7 linked regions of the Kluyveromyces lactis genome follow. The protein of the gene in region 1 purifies or fractionates together with the protein of each later gene. This does not show direct contact. Links are inferred from orthologs where the notes say so. Each region holds a gene or a part of one and is shown in the gene's direction. Other genes may lie near its edges. The genes, in order: NOP58, UTP22, UTP30, RRP9, PRP43, UTP7 and NOP13.

The links.
Region 2: the proteins of NOP58 (region 1) and UTP22 purify together in Saccharomyces cerevisiae (affinity purification with mass spectrometry; 4 studies listed by BioGRID). This does not show direct contact. The link is inferred for Kluyveromyces lactis from reciprocal best matches to the Saccharomyces cerevisiae genes NOP58 and UTP22.
Region 3: the proteins of NOP58 (region 1) and UTP30 purify together in Saccharomyces cerevisiae (affinity purification with mass spectrometry, with the first as the bait; 4 studies listed by BioGRID). This does not show direct contact. The link is inferred for Kluyveromyces lactis from reciprocal best matches to the Saccharomyces cerevisiae genes NOP58 and UTP30.
Region 4: the proteins of NOP58 (region 1) and RRP9 purify together in Saccharomyces cerevisiae (affinity purification with mass spectrometry; 6 studies listed by BioGRID). This does not show direct contact. The link is inferred for Kluyveromyces lactis from reciprocal best matches to the Saccharomyces cerevisiae genes NOP58 and RRP9.
Region 5: the proteins of NOP58 (region 1) and PRP43 purify together in Saccharomyces cerevisiae (affinity purification with mass spectrometry; 6 studies listed by BioGRID). This does not show direct contact. The link is inferred for Kluyveromyces lactis from reciprocal best matches to the Saccharomyces cerevisiae genes NOP58 and PRP43.
Region 6: the proteins of NOP58 (region 1) and UTP7 purify together in Saccharomyces cerevisiae (affinity purification with mass spectrometry, with the first as the bait; 3 studies listed by BioGRID). This does not show direct contact. The link is inferred for Kluyveromyces lactis from reciprocal best matches to the Saccharomyces cerevisiae genes NOP58 and UTP7.
Region 7: the proteins of NOP58 (region 1) and NOP13 purify together in Saccharomyces cerevisiae (affinity purification with mass spectrometry; 3 studies listed by BioGRID). This does not show direct contact. The link is inferred for Kluyveromyces lactis from reciprocal best matches to the Saccharomyces cerevisiae genes NOP58 and NOP13.

What each region holds. Positions count from the first base shown.
Region 1 is NC_006042.1:801,123-804,615, reverse strand, and holds NOP58 (RNA-processing protein NOP58), read left to right. Parts: upstream 1-1,457; coding exon 1,458-2,993; downstream 2,994-3,493. Other genes in the region: DGK1 (diacylglycerol kinase), read left to right, coding at 1-784; U4/U6-U5 snRNP complex subunit SNU66, read left to right, coding at 3,353-3,493. UniProt on the Saccharomyces cerevisiae protein: Required for pre-18S rRNA processing. May bind microtubules.
Region 2 is NC_006040.1:1,246,641-1,250,790, forward strand, and holds the start of UTP22 (rRNA-processing protein UTP22), read left to right. Parts: upstream 1-1,350; coding exon 1,351-4,150. Other genes in the region: KLLA0_D14762g (uncharacterized protein), read right to left, coding at 105-509. UniProt on the Saccharomyces cerevisiae protein: Involved in nucleolar processing of pre-18S ribosomal RNA and ribosome assembly.
Region 3 is NC_006037.1:536,648-539,201, forward strand, and holds UTP30 (Utp30p), read left to right. Parts: upstream 1-1,241; coding exon 1,242-2,054; downstream 2,055-2,554. Other genes in the region: KLLA0_A05731g (uncharacterized protein), read left to right, coding at 1-786; KLLA0_A05775g (glycosyltransferase family 15 protein), read left to right, coding at 2,287-2,554. UniProt on the Saccharomyces cerevisiae protein: Involved in rRNA-processing and ribosome biosynthesis.
Region 4 is NC_006038.1:970,261-973,641, reverse strand, and holds RRP9 (ribosomal RNA-processing protein RRP9), read left to right. Parts: upstream 1-1,177; coding exon 1,178-2,881; downstream 2,882-3,381. Other genes in the region: chromatin-binding protein CTF4, read left to right, coding at 1-812; KLLA0_B11055g (uncharacterized protein), read right to left, coding at 3,340-3,381. UniProt on the Saccharomyces cerevisiae protein: Involved in nucleolar processing of pre-18S ribosomal RNA. Required for efficient pre-rRNA cleavage at sites A0, A1 and A2, and biosynthesis of 18S rRNA.
Region 5 is NC_006038.1:40,979-45,083, forward strand, and holds PRP43 (DEAH-box ATP-dependent RNA helicase PRP43), read left to right. Parts: upstream 1-1,305; coding exon 1,306-3,609; downstream 3,610-4,105. Other genes in the region: protein kinase COQ8, read right to left, coding at 1-759; KLLA0_B00583g (protein kinase subunit beta), read right to left, coding at 3,841-4,105. UniProt on the Saccharomyces cerevisiae protein: Pre-mRNA processing factor involved in disassembly of spliceosomes after the release of mature mRNA.
Region 6 is NC_006039.1:804,216-807,688, forward strand, and holds UTP7 (Utp7p), read left to right. Parts: upstream 1-1,296; coding exon 1,297-2,973; downstream 2,974-3,473. Other genes in the region: KLLA0_C09240g (dihydroorotate dehydrogenase 2), read right to left, coding at 1-568; proteasome regulatory particle base subunit RPN2, read right to left, coding at 3,162-3,473. UniProt on the Saccharomyces cerevisiae protein: Involved in nucleolar processing of pre-18S ribosomal RNA.
Region 7 is NC_006040.1:698,850-701,827, forward strand, and holds NOP13 (Nop13p), read left to right. Parts: upstream 1-1,302; coding exon 1,303-2,478; downstream 2,479-2,978. Other genes in the region: MDG1 (Mdg1p), read left to right, coding at 1-646.

The sequences.
Region 1 (3,493 bases):
CGGAGTAAATACAAAGAAACAGAAGGAAACAGTTGTCTTGGGAAAGAGTCTGAGTGATGTTCATCTACCATTAACAGAAATTCATTTAAAGTCACATGAATGGTTTGGTGATTTCATTACAAAACACGAAATACCACGGAAACTATTCCATTCATCTATTGGTTTTATTACCCTATATCTTTACACTCAAAATGTTGATTACAAGAAAGTGAAATTTCCATTGATAGTAGGATTTACTGTCGTATTTATTTTAGACTTCATTCGTCTACGTTCTCCATTCTTCAATAAAATGTATTGTCGTTGTGTTGGGGCATTGATGAGGAAAAAAGAAATTCATACGTATAATGGAGTCCTATGGTACTTATTGGGCCTGACTTTTGCGTTCTCCTTTTTTAGTAAAGATATCGCGTTAATCTCACTGTTCTTACTAAGTTGGTCAGATACCGCTGCGTCTACTTTCGGTAGAAAGTACGGACACCTTACACCAAAATTGGCCAGAAATAAGTCTTTAGCAGGTTCCATTGCAGCCTTTTCCGTTGGTCTCATAACTTGTTACTCATTTTACGGATTCTTTGTGCCTCATTATAACTGGGTGAACAAACCAGGTGAAATCTCCTGGACCGAAGAGACAAGCAAACTAAACCTACTACAACTTTCGCTATTAGGTGGTTTTGTCGCAGCTTTGAGTGAAGGTATCGACTTGTTTAACTGGGATGATAACTTCACTATTCCAGTTCTATCCGCCATTTTCATGACAGCTGTCATCCGCATTTTCAAGAATTGAGGAGAGCGGTGCGTAGAGGCACCATTTACCATTACCTAGTTTGTATTTTACTTTTCGTGTTCCCTCCTCTTACCTTTACACTGAGCAGGCTTTTATCAAAACCTTCCTCACTGATGATGTACCACTTTCAATGATCGCATATGAAATTCAATCCCTTTGAATATTTGACTATAACCGGAGAACTTAAGATAGACGGGAGGAAATGACAGTTAATGATCACATTTCACACCTACATTTTTTGTATACAAGTCAATTGATTTGGCACATATATTCTACATCTCACCTTATGTATAGACTTGAATAAATTAAAAACTACCAGCAAATATTGTTTAATATACAACGTCTAGTTTGATGCTTTTGTGAACCGTATTGGCCATTGGAATGTGCTTGGTCTCGATATATGAAGAACAAACAGTGCAGTTCTTTATCTGGTCCCTTTATAACACGTGATTTATATATGTGGTGTCCAGATGTGTTTTCTTTTCATTTCTTTTTGAAATTTAACTAACATTGAAAAATTTTCGACAAGCTCATCTCATCAGTATTGAACTACAGAATGGTATTAACGTTTCGATTGAAGAATTAAGCACATCCATCATATCTACGATATCTCAAAGAACCCGTTGAATAATTAGGATCATCTAGCAACATACACATAAAAGACTTTTTAGCGATGGCCTACGTCTTGACAGAAACCTCAGCTGGGTATGCTCTTTTGAAAGCATCTGACAAGAAGATCTATAAGTCCTCTTCTTTGATTCAGGATTTGAACAGCAGTGACAAGGTCTTGAACCAATTCAAGATTGCTGCTTTCTCTAAATTTTCATCAGCTGCAAATGCTTTGGAAGAAGCTAACTCTGTGATTGATGGTAAAGTCTCTTCCCAATTGGAAAAACTGTTGGAAGAATGCAAGACCGACAAAAAGGCCACCTTAGTTGTTTCTGAAACTAAATTGGCAAACGCTATCAACAAGTTGGGTTTGAACTTCAACGTTGTCTCTGATGCCGTCACCTTAGATATTTACCGTGCAGTCAAGGAGTACTTGCCAGAACTTTTGCCAGGTTTGAACGATCAAGATCTTTCCAAGATGTCATTGGGTTTGGCTCACTCCATCGGTCGTCACAAATTGAAGTTCTCTGCTGATAAAGTTGATGTTATGATCATCCAAGCTATTGCTTTGCTAGACGATCTAGATAAAGAATTAAACACTTACGCTATGAGATGTAAGGAATGGTACGGTTGGCATTTCCCAGAATTGGCCAAGATTGTTACTGATTCTGTTGCTTACGCCAGAATAATCTTGACCATGGGTATTAGAGTTAATGCTGCTGAAACTGACATGTCTGAAATTTTGCCTGAAGAAATTGAAGAGAGAGTCAAGACCGCTGCCGAAGTCTCCATGGGTACTGAAATTACCCCAGTTGATTTGATTAATATCAAGTGTTTAGCCGAACAAATTGTTGAATTTGCTGCCTACAGAGAACAACTTTCTAACTATTTGTCTTCAAGAATGAAGGCTATTGCTCCAAATTTGACTCAATTAGTTGGTGAATTGGTTGGTGCTAGATTGATCGCACACTCTGGTTCTTTAATCTCTTTGGCCAAGTCTCCAGCTTCCACCATCCAAATCTTGGGTGCTGAAAAGGCTCTTTTCAGAGCATTGAAAACTAAGCATGACACTCCTAAATATGGTCTATTGTACCACGCTTCCTTGGTTGGCCAAGCATCTGGTAAGAACAAGGGTAAGATTGCCAGAGTTTTGGCTGCTAAGGCTGCCGTTTCTTTGCGTTACGATGCTTTGGCTGAAGATAGAGACGATTCTGGTGACATCGGTTTGGAATCCAGAGCTAAGGTAGAATCAAGATTGTCCCAATTAGAAGGCAGAGACTTGAGAACCACACCAAAGGTCGTCCGTGAGCACAAGAAGACTGAAATCACAGAGGCTAGAGCATACAACGCAGATGCTGACACCGTGTCTTCAGCTGCTGCTCCTGCTGACTCTGATGATGAATCCGAGGACGAGGAAGAAACCAAGGAAGAAAAGAAATCTAAGAAGGATAAGAAGGATAAGAAGAGAAAGAGAGACGATGATGAAGAGTCTAAGGAATCTAAGAAGTCTAAGAAGGAGAAGAAAGACAAGAAGGAAAAGAAGGAAAAGAAGGAAAAGAAAGAAAAAAAGGATAAGAAATCTAAGAAGGAAAAGAAATAGATATAGTATTCACATTAAAACCCCACTCTTTTGCATTAAATCTCTAATAACCTCGTATAAATCTGTTCCATTACATACGAACATACTATGTGTGTACCTCTGTAAATTAGTCTGTATCAAATTCAAACAAAATATAATAATTGAATTATTGTCATACGCTGTACTCTTCTTCTCATTGTCATCGTCAATGGCTTTGATAGTTACATCAAAATATTCACTGATGAAAATGTTGAAATATACAATTCTTAAATTCGGACAAGTTGGCGATGAGATGAGGCAGAAAGAAAGCAACAGGATTTGATAATAAGGATATTCGACCACAATACGAATTCTACGAGGCATACAGTTACTTCAAAGCCATGGGTAAGATTACTTCTATATCTTTGGAAGAAACAAATCGAATTAGGGCAAGTTTAGGTTTGAAGACTATACCTAGGCCCACTGAGACGTCAACAGAATCAAAAGAAGGTGCATCTGATACAAATAGGAAAGTACGAAGA
Region 2 (4,150 bases), on another chromosome or scaffold:
TATGGACCAGTCATTGCTTTTGTTCGGGATAAAACTCTCTAGTCCCGCTAGTCTCAATTGTCCAATTAAACAGTAAACCCATCTGTTAAATTGGTCCTTTGACTTCACTTGTTGTAGATGAACAGACGTCTTGTCTTGGAACCTGGAAAAGTCATCAAAGCTTTATATTCGCTGTCACACGAGTTGTTATTCTTCTTGGAATAACTAAACAACAGACTGCTTCGATATCTGTATTCCCTATCAAACACTTCGTAAGTACTTCCTCCAAATATCTCTCTCTCGGGATCTAAGTCTGAGTATGGGTTAACATTTTTATCCTCTTTTAAACTCTGTTTAGGAGCACTACCATCACTAACGATATCGAGTCTTTGTATATCTTCACAGATACCTCTTGTCGGATCATTACTTCCTTGCGGAGACTCAGTGACGCTGCCATGTAGGTGATCCTGGTTGTCGCAGTCACAGTCACGTGTAATTAATTCAAAACCTTCGGTATCAGATGAATCCATAGTGTTTACTAGCTATATATAGCTAGTGTGTTGATGCACCTGGCGATCTGTCATGACTGTGTTGATGGTCTTTCCCCAGATCTATGGCCTCTTTATATAATAACTCAGATTGGTTAATGATGTTTCATGTTGATACTTGACCGTCTATTGTTTCTAATCCGTCTCAACAGATAACCCGCCGAATGATCTAAAAAATCTGTAAAATTTGTAATAGATTTCGTGCCTCCTTAGCTTAGTGGTAGAGCGTTGCACTTGTAATGCAAAGGTCGCTAGTTCAATTCTGGCAGGTGGCATTCATCTTTTTCAATATCCAATCTGACCTTCCTCGAATCTATTTTTTTTTTCTTAAAGTAACATTGTGCACTAAAACTAGCAATACGGTACGTCTAAAACCATGTATTCCCTATATTACTACATATCGGGATAGTACCAGTTCCAGCACTTGAGTTGGACTTGGCTTTAGTCCAGTATGACTCTATGTATCTGACTATCTAACTGATTATTCAGAGAGACTGAGATTGGACACGTCGTATAAAGTGACAGACGCATCAAAATCCTTCACATCGAATTTTGGAAAAATTTGCCAGGCGATGAGCTTTAAAGGTTTAAAGAATTCGCATTTACATAGAATGAACGTACCCATAGGCAGGTTTATCACAGTGATTTTGTTTGGATTTCCCTCGTATTAGTTTGCTAGATATTAAAAGGGTAATTCTCTTCTGTTTTGGCTAGGGGAAATTGAAACCCTAGGACTCGGGCACTGGCTATCATTCTGTATTATAATCAATCCAGAGGCGCAAACGGTCAGGAACTAGTGAATTAAGTGGATATTTAGTGAACTATGGCCTCTGTGAAACGTGTAGCACCAGATGGTGAGAAGTCCAGGAATGGTAGTTTCACCAAGAAGGCGCTTGTAAAAGCTATTACTGGCTCACAGGCTGAAAATGACAGTGACAAGACTGGTTCTTCTTCTTCTGGAGAAGAAGAAGAAGAAAGAGAGGAAGAGGCTACTGCCTCTTCCAGCGGGGAAGAAGACGAGGAAGAGGAAAACACACATGACCATAAGGCTAAGAAGCCAAAGTTGAGCTCCCAGGATATACAAATAGCGAGAGAAACGGCTGAACTCTTCAAATCGAACATTTTCAAATTACAAATCGATGAGTTATTGGAACAAGTGAAGTTGAAGGACTCACACATCGTAAGGGTGGAGAAGTTTTTGCATAAACTATATGATATGATACAGGAAGTACCGGAATGGACTCCGCAAAGCTTAGAAGATGTAGAGAAATATTTCCATGGGAAAGTGGTATCAGTTCCGTTTGTGGATCCAAAACCACAAGCGAAGAACACACAGTACAAATTCAATTATTTAAAGCCGGACGTGAGTTTAATTGGATCATTCGGGTTGAAGACTGCCATCTACCAACCTCAGGGCTCCGCAGTAGACGTTTTGTTGACTATGCCTGAGCAGTTGTTCGAAAAGAAAGATTTCTTGAATTTTAGATGTTTCCACAAGCGTTCAGTATACCTCGCGTATTTGACTCATCATATCTCACTCGTCCTGAAAAGAAGCCAGCTGGATTTCTTACACTTGGAATATTCATACTTTAACAACGATCCTTTACAAACGGTATTAAAGATAAGTTGTAAGGAGAAAACTTCATCGGACTATAATTTCTACAAGACTAAATTCAGCATAAACTTGATCGTGGGGTTCCCATACAATTTCTTCGAATCAAAGAAGTTGCTACCCAATAAGAACTGTATCAGAGTCGGTCAGGATAACGAAACTCCGACACCTTTCTACAATTTCTCGGTATTATCATCTTCTTGTCACGAACACTATTTGAAGTACTTACACAAATCAAAGAAACAAACAGAACAGTTTAAACAGGCTTGTATTTTGGGGAAGCTATGGTTATCTCAGAGAGGCTTCTCATCAAATATGTCTCATTCAGATGCGTTGGGTGGTTTTGGAAATTTCGAGTTTGCCACGTTGATGGCAGCCCTACTAAATGGTGGTGGGTTGAATGGTAACAGAATTTTATTGCATGGGTTCTCATCTTACCAATTATTCAAAGGTGTAATCAAATATTTGGCCACAATGGATCTTTGTACTGATGGGTACTTACAATTCTATTCCGACTATAGCACTACTGCAACTGTCACTTCCTCAAAATACGTTGAAGAAGGTTTCCAAACACCTACAATCTTTGATAAAACCACCAAAGTTAACATACTGAGTAAAATGTCTGTTAACAGCTATCAAATGCTAAAGATCTACGCGCAAGAAAGTTTATTGATGTTGAATGACGTCGTCAGAGATCAGTTCGAAAACATGTTCTTAACTAACTTAAACAAGATCAAGACAGTGAAATATGATGCTTACTATGATTTAGATATCCCATCCATCAATTTACTACTGTCCAAGTTCGGTCCCGTTGAAAAGATTAGCTTTATATCATTCGAAAATTTCATCTGCAATAAAGTATCGAACATCGTGAAGATTGCCCTTGAGGATAGAATCAAAGCTTTTGAAGTGGCTCTAGTTAACAATAGATCTACTTTCCCAGTAACAAAGAGAAAAGTTGCTGCTGTTCCAAATTTCACTTCAATCCAAATTAAACTGTTGATCAACCCTGCAGAATGTGAGAAGCTTGTGACTAAGGGCCCAGAGAACACAGAAGAATTAACTAATGAAGCTAATGAATTCAAGATTTTTTGGGGTAAAAAAGCATCTCTTCGTAGATTCAAGGACGGTTCCATTGCAAACTGCTGTGTCTGGTCAACTTCTGCTATTGAAAGTGTTGTTTCTTCGATTTTGTCCTATGTTCTAAGGCTACATTTGACTGAAGACTGCAAACTCATCAATAATTCCACTAGCCAATTCCAACAGTTGTTACCACTACCGAACCTACCTGCATCTTCAAAGACATCAGTTCTAAACCTATCAAGCTACTATAACTTGAAGAAGTCCTTTGACGATTTGTATAAAATCATGTTCGAGCTAAAACTCCCATTATCAATTAAATCTCTTTTACCTATTGGTTCTGCATTCAGGTACACATCATTATGTCAGCCTGTCCCATACGCATATTCTAATCCTGATTTCTTACAAGACGTTGTTATCGAATTCGAAACGTCTACAAAATGGCCTGACGAAATTACTTCGTTGGAAAAGGCTAAAGCTGCATTTTTATTGAAGATTCAAGAATCCATCACGCAGACTCATAGTGAGTACAAGTGCTACTTTACACGTGATGAATCGATTCCATACAACTTGGAAATAGTTACTCTAAACATTTTGACTCCAGAAGGATACGGTTTCAAGTTTAGAGTTCTAACTGAGAGAGACGAAGTTATGTATTTGAGAGCAATTAACAACGCAAGAAAAGAACTAAGACCAGAGCTGGAAAAGACATTCTTGAAATTTACTGCCAAGTACCAAGCTGCTATTAGACATACTAGAACTTTGGAAAACATTTCCCATAGTTACCCATTCTACTCTCCAGTGGTAAGACTATTTAAGAAATGGCTAGATTCTCATCTCTTATATGGCCATTTGTCAGAAGAATTGATTGAGCTTATTGCCATTAAGCCATTTGTAGAGCCACGTCCATTCACCATGCCAGGTTCCGTTG
Region 3 (2,554 bases), on another chromosome or scaffold:
GCTTTGAGAGGTGGTGCTCAAATCATTGTTGGTACTCCAGGTCGTGTTTTCGATATGATCGACCGTAGAATCTTCAAGACTGACAACATCAAGATGTTCATCTTGGATGAAGCCGATGAAATGTTGTCTACTGGTTTCAAGGAACAAATCTACAACATTTTCACCATGTTGCCACCAACTTCCCAAGTTGTCTTGTTGTCTGCTACCATGCCAGGTGATGTCTTGGAAGTCACTTCCAAGTTCATGAAGGACCCAGTCAGAATCTTGGTTAAGAAGGATGAATTGACCTTGGAAGGTATTGGTCAATACTACGTTAACGTTGAAGAAGAACAATACAAGTACGACTGTTTGACCGATTTGTACGATTCTATCTCCGTTACCCAAGCTGTTATTTTCTGTAACACCAGAAGAAAGGTCGAAGAATTGACCGAAAGATTGAGAGAAAACAACTTCACCGTCTCTGCTATCTACTCTGATTTGCAACAACAGGAAAGAGACACCATCATGAAGGAATTCAGAAGTGGTTCTTCAAGAATTTTGATCTCCACTGATTTGTTGGCTAGAGGTATCGATGTCCAACAAGTCTCTTTGGTTATCAACTACGACTTGCCATCCAACAAGGAAAACTATATCCACAGAATCGGTAGAGGTGGTCGTTTCGGTAGAAAGGGTATTGCTATCAACTTCGTCACCAATAAGGATATCGGTGCTATGAGAGAATTGGAAAGATTCTACTCTACTCAAATTGAAGAATTGCCATCAAGCATCAGCGAATTGTTCGATTAAACTTAATAAATAAAAAAAAAAATAGGAATAATCAACATCAGATCCAAACATTTATTAGGAGGAAAAAAAGTTAAGTTTGGCTTTGTCCGCTACTGTTATTTTCTTTAACTATCTCTCTATTCAAACTCTAATCTTACTTACTTTTAACCTTTATCTCTCTATGTAAATCATATCTTCTAGAAAGAAACAAACGAATACATCTTCTGTATATCTTTACTGAACATACAAAGCTACAGCTTACCATGAAGGGTTTCGTTGAAGTTGCGTCTTATTTATGCACCATCGGAGTGGCTTTCACGTCCGTTTTTGATATTTATCATTTATAACTCTTTATGAAATTGATTTCACTACAAAAATTTTACTAAATGGAGACATCTCATCTCATCTCATCTCATGGATGTAAAGAATAAAGAAAGGTTTGTTGCTACTCTCGATAAACCAGCGAACATTGGGCTATGCCAATCGAATTAGATACTGATGGTGCTACAACCAAGGCTCTACGAGCTTTGACGAAACAATGTGAAGTGGATCCCAAGTTAGCTAACGATACCAGCATCCATTTGATCATCAATACACAACAACCTGTTGGAATAAGAAACGACCACGTCCCCCGCATCATTCCTTTGAAACACAGCCAGATGAAATCTGCAAATGATGTGCGAATTCTACTGATCTGTAAGGACCCAAGTACGCTATATCGAGATTCGTTGACGAAGGAAAAGGCTACGGCAGAATTATTCAAAGAAATTATCAGCGTCAAGAAACTGAAGCAACGGTTCAGAGGTAAAAAACTGAAAGAGTTATATAATGAATTTGACATGATAGTAGCGGATTACAGAGTTCACCATTTATTACCAAGTGTCCTGGGCTCAACTTTCTACCGTTCGAATAGAAAGCTGCCGTTTGTTGTAAGAATGTCAAAACAAATTAAAGAGAAAGGTTCCAAAATGAAGGAAGATTGTGACCCAAAATACGTGAAAGCACAAGTAAAGTCCATATGTAAGAATACCTGGTTTCTACCAAACAAAGACAACTGTTTAAGCATTAAAATTGGGGAAATCGGCGTACATGCTGAGGCGGAATTAATGGCGAATGCAGAAGATGTGATAGACTTTCTGTGTGACAGATCAAAAAAGCCACAAGGTGGGTGCATCAAAGATGGGAAAATCTCCTCTATATTTGTCAAGACTAGCAACAGTCTGAGCTTACCAATATGGAAGAAACTAGAACAAGAATCAATCGATGACGATGAAGAAATTAGGCTATGAAACAACTCCAATTGGTCTTACATGTACTTTAATTTAAGAATAAAAATACTATTATAGAACCCTCTCAAAAATAAGCATATCATTACATAGTTGTAATTACTGGTGAATCCTTCCGTACTATGTGAAACAGCTAAATTTCTGCCCTTTCCTTCAAGAGGCTTGAGCAGTATATCTTGAACTTTGACAGATTTTTGATGAAAAAAATGTATGGAATTCTTAAAATAGGCACTGTATGCAAACTTCATGCATATATAAGATGATCTATAGCGATGGCAGTTCCCTAGCTGGGTATTCGATGTTCGCCCTTCGGAGAGTGTACCTTGGTGCCTACGCTGCTATTGTATCACTGTCATTGACTTTATACCTTATCCGTGTGGGTTTTGCTGTCATTAAGGAAGTATATCTGCATCAAAGAATAGAACAAGGCTTTTTCCCTAGATCCGAAGATGTCCTACACAAATATGACAACATAAGGCGGTTCAATAAGAGTTTTGGTGAAT
Region 4 (3,381 bases), on another chromosome or scaffold:
TGCCTCAACAGAATCAGCCGGGAAATGATGATGAAGACATTGAATTTTTAAAATACGATGATATTTTCAATTCATTCAACCCCCTAGGTATCAAATCCTTATTCTTCTCAAGCTTTGGTGATCCGTGTATGTTTGGTCATGATAATGTTTTGTTAATTCTGTCCAAATGGAGAAGTGGTAGTGACGCGAGATGGGTACCCATAGTTGATACCAATTTAGAACTTTGGAAGATGTCAGGGGGTAAGCATCCGAAGAACGTCCACGTTTGGCCATTAGGATTAAACTTCGATACATTTTCGTATTTATTATTGAAGGGGAAGAACGCATGGCCAGATATCCCAATGACCGTTCCTACAGAAATGGAAGTCAGAATCCCAGTTGTATCAAAATCCGAGCTTCAAAAGACACAAGACGATAATCGTAACGACAGCAGCGATGTGGAAGATATTGATAACAGTAATGGTGTCGAAATTCCAATGTACCTAGCAGCAGAAGAGGAATTTCTACGCTCCAAGATACTAAGTGATTTACTAAAAGACACGATGGATAATGAAGGTGAGATATACGGAAATGAAACAGATCTATTACAGCATCTGGTAGCAACACATGATAAGTCCTTACTACGACTTTTAGCTTATGTCTGTTCCGAGCAAGATGTTAACAAGGCCGTTTCAATCGTCAACGAACTGAAGCAAGATAAGGCCCTATCTGCTGCAAGAAAAATTGCAGAAAGAGCTGAACTACTTCCACTAGTAAGAAAAATCAACACGATTATTGAGGCCAAATTTGAGGCCGATTTCAATAATATATGATAATCCCCTGTTCTTCTTATCTGGACTAGAATAAGTATTGTCAGTTTAAATAATAATTGATTTTCCGATCCGTGCATTGACGTTCATTTTCTGCCGTAATGTAAATTAAACTAAGTAATTCTAGCAATACCAATGAAATCAGGCATATAGGTCGTTGAATCGAGTAAAGTCTTCCAAACTATTATTTAATTCTGTTGCAAGTTCATGCATTCTTCAATTTTTGTCACTTTTCAAGTGGTGTCGTTTCTTTTACAAATTGGCGATACTGAAAAAAAAATTGTACATCTGAACCAACATCATTGAAACAGGCGATGAGCTGCAACTAAACCAGACGAGACAGCAACCAGAGGGCCACCAAGTACACCATGGCTAGATCTAGTACAAGCAATGTCTCAAAAAAACGTAATAGGGATTCTGTCGAAGAGGTAGATGAGGAAATCACGGATATTTCTTCTGATGAAGGTGATGTCCAAGATGAATCCAATGATGGCGATGAGGTAGCAGAATACTTGGAATCTGAAGACGAGTTTGAAGGCGAAAACCCTGCTGATAAGAGAAGAAGATTGGCTAAACAATATTTAGAGAATTTAAAGGCTGAAGCTGAAGATATTGGCGATTCTCTGGCGACCGCAAGCACTGAACAGGACCGTCAAACACAATTAGAGGATTACAATAACTTTGATGCTCGTGACTTGGACAGAGATATCATTGCTTCCAGATTGAAACAAGATGTTGCAGAGCAACAAGGGCGTATCTATAGATGGATTTCAAATAAGCTTTTGATAGGTGAATCCAGAACAACGTTTACAAGAGTAGGCGAAAATAATCTAACATGTATTTCGTGTTATCAACCCTCAGTTAACAAGTTTTCTCATAAAGATGTTCAAAATAAGAGCAAGGACAAAATATTTGCTTACACTGTTAGCAAGGACATGCAATTAACAAAATATGATGTTACTGATTTCAAAGCTAGACCAAAAAAAGTGAAATATGTTAAAGGTGGTAGAAAATACATACCGGAAGGTAAATTTGAGTACGAGAATGTGACAGAAGGTCATTACGATGAAATCTTAACGGTGGCAGCTTCTCCTGATGGTAAATACGTAGTTAGTGGTGGTCGTGACCGTAAACTGATAGTATGGAGTACCGAATCTTTAGCCCCTGTGAAAATTATTCCAACCAAAGATCGTAGAGGTGAGGTTTTAGGATTAGCATTCAAGAAGAATTCGGATCAATTATTCGCAGCATGTGCCGATTACAAAATCAGAACGTATGCTATTAACCAGTTTTCTCAACTGGAAATATTATACGGTCATCAGGATTTGGTTATTGATATCTCTGCCCTAAATATGGAGCGTTGTGTGACAGTGGGGTCCAGGGATCGTACCGCTATGTTGTGGAAAATAGCTGACGAATCCAGATTGACATTCAGAGGTGGTGATGATCCTGAAAGACTGAGGAAAAAATGGTTGAAGAACCAACAATTGTCCGCAGAAGGCGGAGAAGATATGCATGAACAGACCCCACCTCACTTTTATGGCGAGGGAAGTATCGATTGTATTAGCATGGTAGATGATTCACATTTCGTTACTGGCTCTGATAACGGAAATATATCATTATGGTCTTTATCCAAAAAGAAACCTCTTTTCACCGTTAGAACTGCTCATGGTGTTGTACCATTAGTTGAGGATAAAAAAATCTCTGGGGAAGTGAGCGATGAATTACGCAATGCACAATTACAAGGTGGATCCATTGCCCAACCATTTTGGATAACATCATTATACGCCGTTCCATATTCTGATATTTTCATTTCAGGATCCTGGAATGGAACCCTGAAGGTATGGAAAATCAATGAGAACTTAAGAGCATTTGAACTATTAGGAGACTTACCTAACTGTAAAGGTGTGGTAACCAAAATTCAAGCCGTAGAATCCGGCAGAACCGGTAGAGAAACCTTCAGAATTCTAGCAAGTGTCAGTAAAGAACATAGATTAGGAAGATGGATTAGCAAGGTACCAGGTGCAAGAAATGGTATCTTTTCTGCTGTGATAGAACAAACCGGATTCTAGTTAATCTTATCAATAGAAAAATCTCCTGTATAGTAAAAAGAAGAATACTTTAATAAAGCCGAAATACATTAGTAATTGTTACAAGGGTATATATTTATATATAGAGAGCTCTAACCGATCAATGATGTAGAGAACTAGGAAAGGATTAATAGAAATCATTGTGACATGATTTTGAGTAGTGTCTTTCATTGTCAGCCATGATAAAATAAGGTGTTAGAGAACGAATTTGAGAACAGATAAGATTTAATTCACATAGCCAGCGACGTAGAGAATTAAATGCGGGAACATCAAAGGAATAGCTCAAAGGATTAAAGGAAAAGATCGGGAAAAGTCAAATGGATTTTTTTATTTTAAGTATTAAGCGTTCCTCATGTTCTTGTAAACAAGCAAGGAACGAAAGAGTAATAAACAACACAAATCGTCTCAAGAGAAAGCAAACAACTCCCAAAGTAAAGGAATCATAGGAAGGCCAAAGCAATACCAGCGGCAGCACCAATCAA
Region 5 (4,105 bases), on another chromosome or scaffold:
TGCAGCGATAGGAGTCCTGTCGAAACTCTTGAATTTCTTTTCCCAATCAGAACTCAATTCTCTAGCCAGTAGCCTGTCCAACTGTCTTGGAGGCATATAATTAGCACTGTTCTGAACTCTTGAAAGTATCGTGTATAATTGCGGAGGTAAAACCTTCTCATCCTGGAATGACATTAGTTGGCCCAACTTTAATGCTGCTCCTCTCATTTGAGAGAATTTATTTGCAATCCTTTCAACATTAGAATCTGATAACAGTAAATCTTTAAAACTTGATGATTGGCCACGACTCAGCTGAGTGATACTTTGAGATGCAGCAGAAATACCCACACTAGCAGCTAGGTGGCCGTAATGAAAAAGCCGAGAGATACGTGATGAAGGGACTTCTGAACTTTCCAGTTTATTAGCCTTTTGTTTGTTCACCAATTTATCCTCTGGAATAGCGTCAGCTGCTTTATTAGAACACCTGTGATAAGATGAAAAATGTCTCACATTTTTTTTGTTCTTGACTGAGCACTTGCTAAGGTGTGCTTTTTTAGAAGAGTGCCCTTTCGTAGATTTTCTGACGGATTCAGAAAGTTTACGGGCATGTTCCCAGTCCTTGTCGTAAAACCATTGAAATTTAGACAGTACCGGTCTTGTCAAAGTGGAAGTTTTTAGCCAAATATCAAGAGACTGTCTACCAATCGAGGCAGAATTTTTTACCACGTTGCAGAAGGACTCTGATAAACAGATAGCTTGATATAGCCCTTTTCTCGACATTGAATACAGCGATACTTCTCGATATCAATTAATTCAGCCGAAGAACTATCAGATATCACAAGATCAAAAATAAAGGGTGAAAGTATTTGATCTATCCAATGATACTACGAGTCAATGGTCAAATTCATGAATATACAGCGTAATAAGAATGGATTAAGACTCTGTCTTTACTTTATTACCTTTCCTTATTTCATGAGAGAGTCGAATCGTACAGATATCTTGCAGAATAATCCATCTTTTGAATTTCAAATAGATGCTTGTTTGCTTGCTTGCTCTTGCCATTCTAACCTTTGTTATCCGGGTAATGATGGAATTGCGATTTTGACATATGGACGTGTAGTTTTTTCTTTTTTAAAAATTTTAATGCAAATTGTAACATTAAGCTCATCTCATCTCATCTCATCTAGTGTAGTTCAATACTAGAGATAGTAGGTTAAGTGGTTATAAAATCCCCTGAATATTAGATACTACTGCTGAGTTTGGTTTACTCCGTTAGAGATTATTCGCATTACCAGTTGCAAAACATCAAACGTTGAGTAATTGACGATGGGCAAAAGAAGGTTTTCAAACGAGCATGTGTCTGCTGTTGAGACTTCTATTCCGGAGCATGCAGCTGAAATCGCAGAAAAATTAACCAAAGATCACCCTCCACCAGCAGCAGAGCCTTTAATTCATCATGATTCTGGTGAGTTCAGCGGGATGCAACGCCATCACACTACTGCGGCCGATGCCGAAAGATTGGAAAATGGATCAGTTAATCCATTCACTGGTGGCTCACTATCAGAGAAATATTTCGGTATTCTAAAGGTAAGAAGAGACTTGCCAGTGCACGCTCAAAGAGATGAATTCTTGAAGATCTATCAAGAAAACCAGATCATGGTTTTTGTTGGTGAAACGGGTTCCGGTAAGACCACTCAAATTCCTCAATTTGTGCTGTTCGATGAAATGCCACATTTACAAAATACTCAAGTTGCTTGTACGCAGCCTCGTAGGGTTGCTGCCATGTCTGTGGCACAGAGAGTTGCTGAAGAAATGGACGTCAAACTAGGCGAAGAAGTTGGTTATTCCATTAGATTCGAAAATAAGACCTCTAATAAAACTATCTTGAAATATATGACTGATGGTATGTTGTTAAGAGAAGCCATGGAAGACCATGACTTGAAACGTTACTCTTGTATCATTTTAGATGAAGCACACGAACGTACTTTGGCAACAGATATCTTGATGGGTCTTTTGAAACAGGTTATTGATCGTAGACCTGATTTGAAGATTATTATCATGTCTGCTACTTTAGATGCTGAGAAATTCCAAAGATACTTTAATAAGGCGCCACTTTTAGCTGTCCCTGGTAGGACACATCCAGTGGAGATCTACTATACACCAGAATTCCAAAGAGATTATTTGGATAGTGCTATAAGAACTGTTTTACAGATCCATGCTACGGAGGAGAAGGGTGACATTTTGTTATTCTTAACCGGTGAAGATGAGATTGAAGATGCTGTAAGGAAAATATCATTAGAAGGGGATCAGTTAATTAGAGAGCAAGGTTGTGGTCCTATCTCTGTATATCCATTATACGGTTCTTTGCCTCCACATCAACAACAGCGCATTTTTGAACCTGCTCCTGAATCCCATAATGGAAGACCTGGTAGAAAAGTCATTGTATCTACTAATATTGCAGAAACCTCTTTGACTATTGACGGTATTGTGTATGTTGTTGATCCTGGTTTCTCTAAGCAAAAAGTTTACAACCCAAGAATTAGAGTTGAATCCCTTTTGGTCTCTCCAATTTCAAAGGCATCAGCTCAACAAAGAGCTGGTAGAGCTGGTCGTACCAGACCTGGTAAGTGTTTCAGACTATATACTGAAGAAGCTTTCAAAAAGGAACTTATCGAGCAATCATATCCTGAAATTCTCCGTAGTAATCTTTCTTCGACAGTCTTAGAACTAAAGAAACTAGGCATTGACGATTTGGTGCATTTCGATTTCATGGACCCTCCTGCCCCAGAAACTATGATGAGAGCCTTAGAAGAATTAAACTTTTTGGCATGTTTAGATGACGATGGTAATTTAACACCTTTGGGTAGATTGGCTTCTCAATTCCCTCTTGATCCAATGCTTGCGGTAATGTTGATTGGATCCCCCGAATTTTCTTGTTCCGAAGAGATGCTAACGATTGTCGCCATGTTATCCGTACCTAGTGTTTTCATTCGTCCTTCGAAAGATAAGAAAAGATCAGATGACGCAAAGAACATATTTGCACATCCTGATGGCGACCACCTAACATTATTGAATGTCTACCATGCATTCAAGTCAGACGAAGCTTATGAGTACGGGATCAACAAGTGGTGCCGCGACAACTTTTTAAATTATAGATCTCTATCTGCTGCTGACAACATCCGCAACCAATTGGAAAGGTTGATGGTTCGTTACAATCTCGAGTTGAACACTACAGATTATGACTCCCCTAGATATTTCGATAACATTAGAAAAGCGTTAGCTGCAGGCTTCTTTATGCAGGTCGCAAAAAAACGATCTGGCGGAAAAGGTTATATCACAGTCAAAGATAACCAAGATGTTTTGATACATCCTTCAACTGTTTTGGGCCATGATGCCGAATGGGTTGTATACAATGAATTCGTTCTAACCTCCAAAAACTACATTAGAACTGTAACATCAGTTAGACCTGAATGGTTAATAGAATTAGCACCAGCTTATTATGACCTCGATCACTTCCAAAAAGGTGACATTAAACTATCGTTAGAAAGGGTAAAGCAAAAGCTCGATAAAATGGTGGAGCTACAACAAGAAAAAAAAAAAAGTGCGAAATCTAAAAAGTCTAAGAAATAACCAAGCATATAGATGTGTAACTTATATAATAAGATTAACCTTAGAATCAGCATGATAAGTCTTATTGTAGAAGTATTGTGCGGTATTATTAGCACGCGACTCAAAGTCTACGTTTTTTTTGCTGCATTTTATTGAAATTCGGTATGGTGTACGTTTTATATTCAACCCATAAGAACTTCGCTTATGATATTTCAGTGTAAAAAATATAAAATCAAATCTCTAGGAGTGGTTTCATTGCAATGGCGCATATAGTATCTGTGTTGCATATTTTCTTTTGTATCTAACGATGCTAGCAACACATAAAGTATTATGTTTAATAGAAGACGTTGCTAAATGATTAAGAACGACGTGGTTAGGAATTGGCAACGCACCTGAATTATTTTCACTACCTGGTTCAGCATTTTTGTTGTAATTATTGAGAATAACATTCTCCAACTGAGGTGGAAGTTGTGGAGGAGTTAACCATGACATATTTTGTTGATTGTTCTGTTGCTGG
Region 6 (3,473 bases), on another chromosome or scaffold:
GTAATGTGTTGACAACGGTGTCATGGCCGGATGAATTGAAACCGTATCTGTTGATAACAGCATCATCCAAAGGTAATCTAAAGAATCTAGGTCTTGGGTTTCCTGGTTGTGGTAATGGAGTCACAGAACCAATCTCTATATAACCGAATCCTCCGGAAAGTATACCGTCGATGGCATCACCATTTTTATCCAAACCGGCAGCACAACCAATTGGATTGGTCAATTTCTTACCAAAAATGTTCACATTCAATACCTTATCATCGTTATCGAACCATAATCTTGGAGCCAACCCATTCTTCAAGAACCAGATACCTAATTTATGCCCATCTTCAGCATCTGGCGTTACAAGTCTCAACATCGGGCACAAGACGTACTCATGGAAAGCAGACCTCGAATTGGAGAAATAGAATCCCGCAAATGAACCAATGGCTATCCCAACAGTGTACTTCAAAAGCTTAGGGCCAGAAATGCCTGCTTTCAATGGGACCATGCCATTCTTGACAAAGAACTGCGATTGATTTAGCGTAAAAAGTTTCTTGCTCAAAATACGTGGGAACCCACTATTCATAGTTGATAAAAGCAAAATACGCGGTATTCGGAGTGACCTCTACTTGCCTATTCCAATCTTGTATAACAAGAGAAAAGAACAACGATACACGATCTAGCTCTCTATTCATTGCGGGAGGACCAAAACATTAGTTCAAGTTCTTCATTTTCATTTCATTTTTCAGTTAAGACTCGACGGAGTGTTTTCCGGAAACACATCTGTGAGGAACAAAAGTATGTGACTAGCAGATGCCTGGTGCAATTAGCTCAGAGGTCACCATTGCATATTAATTTGTACTTTGATTTAATTTCTTTTAGATACCTATCATATGTCTAGATGCATAGAAGGTAGTATACTACTTTACACCGGTACTACAGGATGCAGATCAAGTGAAAAATACTCAGGGAACTACTCTTAACTACTCTTTCAAGAAGAAATGATTGCTATTTTGGTTAGAAATCGTTTGGACTCATTGGGTTTGGTATTTATAACTGAATTTCCCCACGTTTTGGGCATGTACTATGCGCCGATTGATCTATTTATCAGTCATATACAATTCTTACTTGGTAATGTCTATCATTCTTCAGCTCAACTTAAGGATTTTTTCTTTTTTTCTCGAGTATCCAATATCGAAAATTTTAAGAAACGATGAGATGAGATGAGCTTCACAATATAAGGTTCTGCAAGTTTACTGCTACATCTTCTGATATCAGGTATCACTTCACGAGAAGCCGAATCAATATTCAATAATGGTTGCTAAGAAAGGTAGTAAGTCACAGTATAGTGACCTACAACGGAGAGACAATCAGGACAAATTTGAGAGATCGAATAACGATGATGATGCCAACGGGTCTCACAAGATGCAGAAGAAAACCAAGGATAAGAAGTTAAAGGCAGGATTGAAGCGTATTGATCAGAAGTATAAGGAAGCGGTACTCTCTACTGCTGCTACAGAATATCTTTTACCCGAAGAGCATGGTTATTTAGAAGCAGAAGATGAGATGGAAAAGACGTTCAAGTTCACACAGGCTGAAATCAAACACCATGTTGACGCCTCCATGGCCAATAAGGCATTGGACTTGAAATTAAACGATTTTGGTCCGTACCGTGTAAATTATTCCAGAAATGGTACGCATATGCTTATTGCAGGTCGGAAGGGCCATGTAGCATCTCTTGATTGGAGGAAAGGTGAACTTCGTGGTGAGCTAAATCTCGGGGAGACAGTGCAAGCAGCAACATATTTGCAAAATGAACAGTTCTTTGCAGTAGCACAAAAAAAATACACGTTCATTTACGATCATGAAGGTGTAGAGCTGCATCGTTTAAAGCAGCACATAGAGGTCAAACATTTAGAATATTTACCATATCATTATCTCTTGGCAACAGCAGGACAAACAGGTTTTTTGAAATATCAAGATGTTTCGACAGGTCAACTAGTATCAGAGATCAGAACTAAACTAGGTCCTACTACAGCGATGGCTCAGAACCCTTGGAATGCAGTAATGCATTTGGGACATAGCAACGGCACAGTCACTCTATGGTCACCATCAATGCCATCACCACTGGTAAGACTATTATCATCTAGAGGATCAATAACAGGAATTGCTGTAGATAGACAAGGTTATTATATGGCCACCACTGGTTCCGATAAATCTTTAAAGATTTGGGATATCAGAAACTTTAAAGAAGTACATAGTATTGAGAACATGCCTACGCCCGGTACTAACGTTGCAATTTCAGATACAGGTCTACTTGCAGTATCAAGAGGGCCTCATGTAACAATTTGGAAAGATACGTTGAAAAGTGGGAAAGCTGCTAGACCGTATTTCACCTCTAGCGGTTACAAAGATAGAAATACTCCGTATATGTCTCATTTATTCGCTGGAAATAAAATAGAGAACTTCCAGTTTGCGCCATTCGAAGATTTGCTAGGTGTTGGACATCAAAAGGGTATAACCAATTTGATTATTCCAGGCGCAGGGGAAGCCAACTACGACGCACTAGAGGCCAACCCATACGAAACAAGCAAACAGAGACAGGAACAAGAAGTGAGATCATTATTGAATAAGTTACCTGCTGATTCTATAACATTAAATCCAAACACAATAGGTACAGTAGATTCTCGTGCTTCTCAAGTCAGATTAAATGCAAAGGATCTTGCAATTATCTCGAATGCAGAGCAAGAAAAATCCAAACTAAACAAAGACATTCCTGATGCCAGACCTGATGTTAAAGGTAAGAACTCCGGATTACGTGCGTTCCTACGAAAGAAAACTCGTAATGTTGTGGATGAAAGGAAGTTAAGGGTACAAAGACAACTAGAGAAGGAAAAGTCTAGCCGCCAAAGAAAAGAAAAAATTAAGAAGGGTGAACTTGCTGATGATCACAAAGACCTTGTTGATGAAGCCTTATCAAGATTTTCTTGAATCATCAAGTAGTTATCAATATGTATACTTACATGAACACTTATATAATCTGTTATTATAGCCGGCTTAGTATCGACTGTTGCAAAAACATGTTTGAATTATTTGCATATAGATACGACTTAGTTTGAGGTGATTATTTACTGTACATTATGAAGGATGACCGCTATTGCTAGGACCTAATTTCTCGATTAAAATTCAAGAGAATCCTCGACTTTAAATGAAGATGGTAATGGGGCATATATATCTTTTGTTTGTCTTACGGTCTTGATTAATTCTAGTGGTTCTTCAGGTGTCTTATCCTCAACGATAATGACACCTGAGTTTCCTCTGAATTTGCGAACAGGTACAAAACGGCTATCTTTCGCAAAAGATATGAATTTGAGTTGCTGCGGAAGCACACGGGTGAGGTTTTCAACATCATAGCTCGTTGTCGTGTATTTGATCTTAGCTTCTTCAGTATTCTTGGCCTCTTCCTTCTTTTTTTCCTCCAGTTCCACCTC
Region 7 (2,978 bases), on another chromosome or scaffold:
AGAATTGAAGGAGAAGGAAGCTGATAAAAAGGAAACTTTGGACCAGCAAGCAGAAGAAACTGCAGCTGTCACTGCAGCAGCTACTGCAGCTGCGGCAGAAAACCCAACTGATGACGTGGCTCCAGTTATTCAATCTGCCACTGAACCAGCTGTTCAAACCGAACAATTAGAGCAAGAAAAGGCCGTTGCTGAACCTGAAACAGTTCCAACCCAAGACGCTACTATTCCGAATACACACATCGAATCACAGGTCACAGATGGTTCTGATGTCGTAGAAGAAGTAGGTATTATCACTTCTCCAGAACAAGAAGCTGAACTAGTTCAAAGAACACTGGATCCAAAAATCGGAGGCGAAGCTGAACTTCTAATTGCTGAAGGCGAAGTTCCAAAGGACTCTATCCCTGCAGTTCAAGAACAAGTCGAAAAAATCGCTGATGAAGCTATTGAAGCCAACACTAAGATTGCTGACAACGTCACCGAAGATGTGAAGAAGACCGCTGAAGAAGCAAAGACTACTACCAACAATGCCGCCAACAAGGTAACTAACAATGCTACCAGTACTAATACTCCAACTAAAACTGCTGCAAAACCAGAAAAGAAGAAAAAGAAGGGATTTTTCTCCAAGTTAAAGAAAATATTCAACTAATTCTAACTTTGCGCCACCTTTTTTATAAAGGCCCATCAAGGCAAGGGAAAGCTTGCTGAATGTTATTTCTATTAGATAAATGACATTCCGAACTGCCCAAGCAACGACTTTCAAAACAGGAACGCAAGTTCTTTACTTATACCAAAAGAAGAAGTAAAAAACCCCCCAAAAAAACCGGAACTGCCACCGATCTTAAGGTTTGACTGATCTGTTATTTCAGCTCATACCCGTCCAGCAATTGTAATGAATACTTGTGAAGTTTAATTTTATTTTTCCTCTTTTTATATATATAATTTTGTAATACAATATGCTATTGTCACTAATAATTAACTTAATTTTAATACCATAAACTTACTGCTTCTAAGAATGAAACATTAACATTCTACGAGGTGCAATGAAGTGTTCATCCAATTACTATCCAAAAGAAACTGTCACCTGTCTGTTATATTTTTCATAAACTCATTGATATTTCTGTCCAGTCTCATTATTGAAAAGCAATTAAACGTTAGTTCAGAAAATTTTACATTCATTGAGATGAGATGAGATGAGATGAGCTTGAAATGGTATAAAGATACTTGCAGACTCCTTTACAAAGTAGATCCTTCATTTCTACTGAGATTGTTGAACAAGAACTCAGATAAGCGAAAGTAATCGACATGTCGGATTCCAGCAAAGAGGTTAAAAAAGTGGATGATGCTGTAAGTCAAGTCTTAAAGGACCCCACCAAGAAGAGAAAGGCTGAAGATGAGATTGAAATTGATTTAAACCAATCCGTGCCTTTATCTAAAAAGCAGAAACGTTTATTGAGAAGAGGTAAGGTTACAATTGAAGAATTAAACGCTAAATACAACATTGACTCGAAATCTATCGAAGAGTACAAGAAAGAAACCGCCGAGAAACAGGATAATGAAGATACATCCAATAAAAAAGAAGGTTCATCAGAGGAGACCAACGTCGAGGAGGAAAAAATAACTTCCAAACCTAATAAGGAGAAGAAGTTCGGTGTTTGGGTTGGAAATATGGCTTTTGATACCGTGAAAGAAGATATAATTAGGTTTATAGTTGCAAAGACAAAGGAGAATGACGAAGGAGGTGCTATTACCGAGAAAGATATTGTTAGAATAAACATGCCATTGACCAAGAATGACAACAAGAAACTCAGAAATAAAGGTTTTGCTTACATTGATTTTAAAACTGAGAAGCAAATGGAAGCTGTAGTTGGTTTGAGTGAAAGTGCACTAAACGGAAGAAACTTGCTCATCAAGAACGCTGGCAGTTATGAAGGAAGACCAGATAAGAATGATCTAGTAGCTGCATCAAAGAACCCACCATCCAGAATTCTATTTGTTGGTAATTTGTCGTTTGATACTACCGAAGACCTACTGAGGAAGCACTTCCAACACTGTGGTGAAATTATGAGGATAAGAATGGCTACTTTCGAAGACACTGGTAAGTGTAAAGGGTTTGCATTTATCGATTTTAAGGACGAAACAGGTGCTACCAATGCGCTTAAAGATAAAAGTTGTAGAAAGATTGCAAGCAGACCTATTAGAATGGAATACGGTGAAGATAGATCAAAGAGACAAGTGAGAAGGAGACCTGAGTTAGATGCCAGGGAACCAAGGAAGCCATCATTTGACATAAAGACGACTCAACCGTCATCATCAGCAGCACCACCACCAATTAGGGAAAGACGTGCACCATCCTATTCCAATAGACAACCATCTCACAAGGATTCTAACAATCGTTTGAAAAGTAGTGTTGCATTGGCTTCTGCTCAAAGAGGATCTGCAGCCATTGTGCCATCGCAAGGTAAGAAGACAACTTTTTAATGTGCGTCAAGAAAACATGAAATATATCAAAATCTTGTATATTAGTTCGAAATAGATCATATACCCATATTTATATTCTCTCATAGGAATATATACTTATCAAAAATAAAGTATAGAAGGACGTATGGGACTGAGGTTCTCTGTTATCATCCTTCTGCTGCAAGTCGAAGGCTGCATCTTGTTTTTCTTCACCGCTCAGTCTCGAGAATCCTTCTCCACGACCGGCGAGCACGACTTTTTTTTTTTTCTTTTACGCATTCGAGAGCAGCAAACAAATATAGAACTTGAAGCAGGTCTACTAATAGAAGCCTTGCATAAGGAGAAATAGGCGAGGGTAACGTCGTCAACTTCTCTATACATCCATCAAGGGACGCTAAGGCAGGACTTATAAGGTAGTGGGTGACGATACATAAGTTGCTAGTTGCTTGAGAAAGGGTGAAGTCGATTGCTACATCATTTTTTTTACCGAAAAACCGTTACAAGCGTAAAGCAGTTGTACC